Saccharomyces cerevisiae S288C: one gene and its partner. Changing the gene in region 1 together with any one later gene gives a genetic interaction. Each region holds a gene or a part of one and is shown in the gene's direction. Other genes may lie near its edges. The genes, in order: YPS6 and YPS7.

Region 1 (3,935 bases):
AATCAGCTGTATTTATATTGAAAGCATTTTTTATTTCATTTTTTCGTTACTTTCAATGTCTATGGAATCTCATTCGTAAAGGCATGTCTCTATTTTGGAATAGCAGTGTAAATACCGTCCTTAGATAGAGCACTGGAGATAGCTGGTCTCAATCTGGTAGAGTACCATGGAACACCAGTGATAACTCTGGTGACTTGTTCAGCTGGAATACCAGTCAACATGGTGGTGAAGTCACCATAGTTGAAAACAGCTTCAGCAATTTCAACTGGGTAGGTCTCACTTGGATGAGCTGCTTGAAACAAGTAGTATTGGGCCAAATGAGCTCTGATATCGGAGACGTAAACACCCAATTCGACCAAGTTAACTCTTTCGTCAGATGGAGATAGAGTGGTAGTGGCTGGGGCAGCGGCAACACCAGCAGCGATGGCGGCGACACCAGCAGCGATTGAAGTTAATTTGACCATTATATTTGTTTTGTTTTTTAGTGCTGATATAAGCTTAACAGGAAAGAAAGGAATAAAAACATATTCTCAAAGACATACAGTTGAAGCAGCTCTATTTATACCCATGCCTTCATCAGTCATCACTACTTAAACGATTCGTTAACAGGTGCTCATTTAGCACCTCACATATCCTCCATATCTCATCTTTCACACAATCTCATTATCTCTATGGAGATGACCTTGTTTCTGAACGAATCATACATCTTTCATAGACTTCGTATGTGGAGTATTGTTTTATGGCACTCATGTGTATTCGTATGCGCAGAATGTGGGAATGCCAATTATAGGGTGCCGAGGTGCCTTATAAAACCCTTTTCTGTGCCTGTGACATTTCCTTTTTCGGTCAAAAAGAATATCCGAATTTTAGATTTGGACCCTCGTACAGAAGCTTATTGTCTAAGCCCATATTCAGTCTGCTCTAAACGGCTTCCATGCAAGAAATATTTCTATCTCTTGAATTCGTACAACATTAAACGTGTGTTGGGAGTCGTATACTGTTAGGGTCTGCAAATATGTAAACTCTCGGCGAAGGCCTTGGTGCAATTACGTAATTGTAGCCGCTGAGAGGCGGATGGTATTGAGAGAAGTTGATATTCAAAGAATTGATTATGATAAAAAAAAAAAATTGTAACCAATCCGTAAATACTGAAACTCTTTGCAGTAAGAAATCTTTCATCCCCAGAGAGAACGCGGAAATATTCAGCCTAAGTCTCTCCAAATTGATTTCTTTCATTTTGGTAGCGAAAGACTTAGTATCAACCTCAAAAAGTTGAAATTTTTGTAGATATATGTGCGGATGACATGAAGTATCCAGCTCCTTTGTGAATATGGAAGCAAGTTTCTTTCAAATTATTATCGACTTTTCCTCTGCCCCTTTTACCTTATAACTTTAGGAAACACTACCCTATCCATACTCAACTAAAAAAGTAGTACGTTTTCTTCTTTGAGAGGTATGGTGCAAACCAGTGCAATCTGATTCCAGATTGCCCTCACGTGAGGCTTCAGTAAATCTCGATCCCTCTACATATTACATTATCTCCTACTTGGCAAAATAGATGTGGCTTTAGTTGATGAAAATTTACCACGTCAACTATTTATGTCCTTTCTACAATAAACCCCGACCTACTATCCTCTATGTTGTTTTTAACATACCATACGAGCGTCATATGTCTTTTGGTTCACTGGGGAAGACCATCACTGTTGAACGTTTGTTGAAAAGTTCGAGATGATGAAGATTGCATAACAAAATGTAAAGTTATTTTTAGAAACTATAACGGTTCAAGACATTCAACACTATAACATAGCTTGGCTGGCTTGAACATAAAGAGGAAGAAGCAAAAGCAAGAGTAAAAAGCTTCTCATTTATTTCTGGCATTGTTGATCACCCAGTGCAAGCCCAATTTCGCCTGTGCTTTTCTTAAATTGTTTCTGACAACACCGAGGTTTTCGCTGCAGAAAAGGAACATATGGTGGTAATTTGTATAAGGGGTTAAGGGTCCAAAAATTTGCTACCCTGTCGCTCACTACAGCAAAATATCTCGAGATATCCGAGGAGTTAAAACTGACTAGACCTGTTGCGTAAACCTCATGCAAGCAGTACTCTTCGAGGATTTAAGCTTTGGAACTGCTTTCAAAGTTGAGAGTATATAAGGTGTTATGATCTTGGAATAGGGTTTTTCATCGTTCTTCCTTGTTCTCTTTTTTCATTGGTTGATCAGTTGTTAAATTTTGTCTCTTTCGAAAATAAGGATATTTGAAGACAACGCAAAGCTATCAATATGCAATTGATTTCCATCCTCTCTTTGTTGTCATCATTGATGTGTTCATTGACCGTTTTAGGGTCTTCCGCAAGTTCCTATGTTAAGTTTCCTGTTCAAAAGTTGGCTGATATTATAAATATATGCACACAGGATGTTTCTACCGTCTTCAAAAGAAATGAGGTTCTTAACACCACAGTGATAAATGGAATAGGAGTGTATGTTGTCAAGATGGAAATCGGAACGCCTCCACAAACGTTGTACCTACAGTTAGATACTGGCTCTTCAGATATGATTGTGAATAATGCTGACATTGCCTATTGCAAATCGATGTCTGACGGATCTGACTACGCTTCAACTGATAATTACGAGCTCACAGCAACGTTCAATGGGCTTCCTTCGACTACCATCTCATCAGAAGCTTATAACACTCTCTGCTCTTATTGGGGTACATTCGATGCAAGCAACTCATCTACTTTTGAGAATAATGCGACGTTTTTCAATAACACATACGGAGATGGTACGTATTATGCAGGGACTTATGGTACGGATGTTGTCTCTTTCGAAAATATTACTCTAAATGATTTCACTTTTGGTGTATCAAATGATACAATAGGCAATCCAAGTGGCATTTTAGGCATATCGCTTCCCATTGCAGAATTTACAGATGGTATCGAATACGCATTGGCATTGAACAGAACACCTTTCATATATGATAACTTTCCAATGGAATTAAAAAATCAGGGAAAGATTAATAAAATAGCGTATTCTTTATTTTTGAATGGACCTGATGCACACTTCGGGAGCATCTTGTTTGGTGCAGTGGACAAAAGTAAGTACACAGGACAGCTTTACACCCTGCCTATGCTGCAGGCATTCAATACCCTTGGCTCAAATCCTGGGATGATTATTACTGCACAAAGTGTGGCAATTTTGGATAGTGAATCTGGCAATAAAACTGTTTCGGATATTCAATTTCCAGTGATGTTGGATTCTGGCACAACTTTCTCCTATTTACCCACCGAAATTGCAGAAGCAATCGGCAAAAGTTTTGACGGAGAGTACAGCTCTGACGACCAAGGCTACATCTTTGATTGTTCAAAAGTGAACGATACTTTACTGTCCGTCGACTTTGGAGGATTTAATATATCGGCAAACATATCCAATTTCGTAACATCAGCTAAGGATCGTTGCGTTTTAAATGTTAAGCAATCCGAGTCCACTTATATGCTGGGAGATGCTTTCCTTGTCGACGCATATGTAGTCTACGATTTAGAAAACTACGAAATTTCTATTGCTCAGGCTAGCTTTAATAATCAAGAAGAAGATATTGAGGTTATCTCCGATACTGTCCCAGGTGCCACCCCTGCTCCCGGATACTTTAGTACATGGGTATATAAGCCCGGTAGTCCCATCGGAACAGGAGATTTTATTAATGTCAGCTGGACCTCGTATTCGGAATTTTCACAGTACAAATCATTGCTTGCCACCGCAGCCCAAAGCGATGATGCTAGTTCTTTCTCAAGTAGTGGCGGCTCTAGCGAAAGCACCACTAAAAAACAAAATGCAGGTTACAAATACCGTTCTTCTTTCTCCTTTTCATTATTGTCCTTCATATCTTATTTTCTTTTATAAGTAGAGAAGAGATACATAGTTTCGCAGTGTGTTACTGTGT
Region 2 (3,935 bases), on another chromosome or scaffold:
GATAGCACCCTGTTTACTGACGAAGATATGTTCGAAGAAGATGGCAAGCCTAGATTTAATGATGATGATGTTAATAAATGTACAAATATTATAAGAGAGACGTTGAAAAGTCTAAATTAATATCCAGATGAGCACTAGTAAATAGTAAATATTCATTCATAGATAGTAATTTACCCATAAGTTATTAATACCTACAAAGTTTTTTCATAAGTTTATGAATATGTCTTCTTGGCCCATGGTTACTTTATTACCTCTAATACCTTATTTACTTTCTCAAATAAATGAGCCCTTGGATTTCATTTACTGAGAATAAAAAAAAGTACCGTGCTCGGCAAAAATGCTCCAGGGGAGGTTCGAACTCTCGACCTTCAGATTATGAGACTGACGCTCTTCCTACTGAGCTACTGAAGCTTTGTTTTGTACAGACGTTACATCTCAGAATGGGATACGTCAGCATGACAATACATTATCCTGAACGTTCATAGAACACATATGAAACCTAAGAAAACGAACAGATTGAGCAACATGAGGTAAAACTCCGCCTTCTATAGCTGGGCTATCTAAACGTATAAATGCCTGAACAATTGGTTTATGAGAAATGGGTGTATTTTGAGAGACTTGTTGGGATTCCATTGTTGATAAAGGCTATAATATTAGGTGTACAGAATATACTAGAAGTTCTCCTCGATGATATTGGAATCCTCTAAATGGAATCTATATTTCTACATACTAATATTACGATTATTCCTCATTCCGTTTTATATGTTTCATTATCCTATTACATTATCAATCCTTGCACTTCAGCTTCCTCTAACTTCGATGACAGCTTCTCATAACTTATGTCATCATCTTAACACCGTATATGATAATATATTGATAGTACAACTATTAGTTGATAGACGATAGTGGATTCTTATTCCAACAGTTTAGATCCAAGGTTCCGCGCTTCCACCATTTAGTATGATCCATATTTTATATAATATATAGGATAAGTAACATTCCGTGAATTAATCTGATAAACCGTTTTGACAACTGGTTACTTCCCTAAGACTGTTTATATTAGGATTGTCGAGACACTCCGGTATTACTTGAGCCCGTAGTACAGCGCAGGCCTCCAGAGTTGAATTATTCTAAATTCCTGAATAATAACAATTTTGCAGACAAAATTCAGGCAATAACTCAAAAGAGTAATCTTTCACTGCATTTAAGGCGCTAAGATTCCCGCCAAAAGTAGTCGTCACAAAAGAACGTATATAAAATGCACTTTCGAGCGGTGACAATGTGAGAAATAGGTAAATATTGAGACAATTGTTGGGATTACCCTGTTTCTCATCTTTTATGTCATCTTTTTACACCGTATATGATAATATGCTAGTCGATAGATGGTGGTCGATTCTTCTTCCTGTATACAAATATATGAGTTGGGGATGTATATTGCAAAGAGCTTGATTATGACACATTGCCAGACCAAAAAACAAATCTCTTTCTATAATGTTCCCAGGTGGGCTAATTTTTTAAATAACGACGGCAGTATATTGATATTGGAGAGAGTTGTATTTATTGTTCGATATTTATTTTGATATCAGCTTTATATTGTAAGTGTTCAATATTTTAATTAGTGTGTATTTTGTAACTTTACTGCCAATTATCAACATAATTACAAAATTGTTATAAAAATTGATGCACTAGTGTTTCGGTTCTTGCTCTTTTAACCAACCGAGCCTAAAAAAGAGGCTCTTGAAAGTAATTTAACCCAAACAATGAGATCTTCATTCTTTTTTTTTTTACCTCAGCTATGACTTGCAGTGCTTTGTATCATACCGCTCGTTTGGTCGTGCTATTTGCAACAATGAACCTCGTTACCCCGAACAAAAAAAAATGAGATATTGAACGCCGCAGCTCATCATGGTAGAATGATGCAGCTAATACCAAAATAAGTTATATTTAGAATGTTGGACATATCAGTTGCATTAGACTAATCGTTCTAGAAGGATACAGAACTTGGAAAGATCTTTGAACGTATCGTAACTGCGTGCTTGCTTTATTTGCCGTTGATTTTTGCTATGACATGCCTAATTTTATGGTATCTGTGGCTCATATCAACTTTTCAGTTAGAGTTTGCAACGGCTAGTACTGCAAATACAACAACTACAGCAAAGTCTGGAACCTCTTCGTCAACGGAGGAGCCGTTTCCTGTACTAGCCGTGGGTAAAGATGGTAGAGGAAACTACTATGTTAATAGCACATTTGGCACTCCCGGTCAACGCCAACGTTTGCTAGTGGATATTATCCAACCGTACATAAATCTGGTTTCCGGAACAAGCGAAAGTCATAACGAATACTCCGGTGTATATCATAAGCATCCCAGCTACCTCATGAATGACTCTACATCATCTGTTCCTGTTTCTCCTGGCCAAATATATGAGATTTCTTTCATTGATGGTAGAGCTGTTAACTGTACTTTGGTGACAGACGATATGAATTTTACAAATGTTTCCTCAGAAAATTCCTCGACCGCTTTGATAACCGATTTAATGGTAACTCGAGATAACGTACAATTTAACTCGGGGAGCCTATCCATTTCAAACGTTTCCTTCTTTGATATTCAGTCCTCGAACTTTAAGACTTCAGGCTTGTTAGGTTTAAGCGGGAAGGTCACAAACCCAGGCAATGCTATCGATAGCTCACAATACACAGAACAGTCTTATTTTCTATCCTTATTGAAAGATGCAGATATCATTGAAAGTTCGTCATATTCACTGTGGTTGGCTGGAGACACTTCCACGTACAAAACATATAGAGATCCAATATCTAATTGTGGGAAGCTACTTCTTGGAGGGGTGGATCCTTCGCTGTTTACCGGTACACTGGGAAAATTTGACTTAATTCCTTACGTTGACCCAGTGAGTAATGCTGTTAGTGTTGGGTACCCAATTGTGCCATTAGGCCCTATTTATATTGTGTCTAACAGCGGACAAAGTTTGAATATGACTTCGAAGGACTTTCTGAGCCCAGCCTTACTTGATTCAACTTCTTCGGTCAGTTACCTGCCAACTAGTACCATTATTCAGATTGCCGTTCAAATTGCGGCCACTTATGTGGAATCACTAGATAGGTGGCTAGTCCAATGTTCTATAGCAGATATGGGTGTCTCCTTGGGTTTCAGGCTTCGAGAATTGACAATTGAAATACCCCTACGTGATTTATTATCATCTACTTACGATACATCCACCAATTCTTCAATGTTTTTCAGTTCTGGACAGGAAGCTTGTTTTCTAACACTATACGCTAATACAAATACTGGAGTAAACATACTCGGAGAAGCCTTCATAAAAAATATATATATGGCAATGGACTTAGAGGATAACACTATAGCCATTGCACAGGCAAAGAAGGTTGAAGATGACGCAGTTACTGAAGAGACAAATGAAACTACCGCGTCCACTATCATCAAGAAGATCAAATCTGGTTACATTCCTTACGCAAAAGTGATGAATAGTAGTAATACAAGAAACTTGACTCTTTATCCATCCTATAGGTCAGGCTATATGTTCACTGTCCCAGGTCAACTGACAGCAGCATACTCAAACGGTGTGATTACAGGTGCGGGCCGGTCATTCTATGATACTTCAAGAGCAAGCACAAGTGCTAGACCATCCAGTACTCAATTCGACAGCTTTTCTGTGTCAGCCTCAGAAGAGTGGTCAAATTCAACTAATAGAACCAGCAGTGCTTCGGGAGCAGGCGTTCGATTGAGCAGTCCTTATACATTTAACAAAGATCCAGCTGGACATGTAACTCGTATAGCTTCCTTGCTACTACTTTCGATATTCTCGATACTTATTGTTCTTTGAATGGTTTTAACAAAAGTTCATAACATAAAACCTTTTTCTCCTTGACCAATGCACGTATAACATCATTATATAGCAGATTTA

What was found.
Region 2: of YPS6 (region 1) and YPS7, changing one enhances a phenotype caused by changing the other (phenotypic enhancement), as found in Saccharomyces cerevisiae (one study listed by BioGRID).

The regions. Positions count from the first base shown.
Region 1 is NC_001141.2:430,458-434,392, reverse strand, and holds YPS6 (aspartyl protease), read left to right. Parts: upstream 1-2,281; coding exon 2,282-3,895; downstream 3,896-3,935. Other genes in the region: seripauperin PAU15, read right to left, coding at 90-464.
Region 2 is NC_001136.10:1,172,305-1,176,239, reverse strand, and holds YPS7 (putative aspartic endopeptidase), read left to right. Parts: upstream 1-2,063; coding exon 2,064-3,854; downstream 3,855-3,935. Other genes in the region: ATP22 (Atp22p), read left to right, coding at 1-120.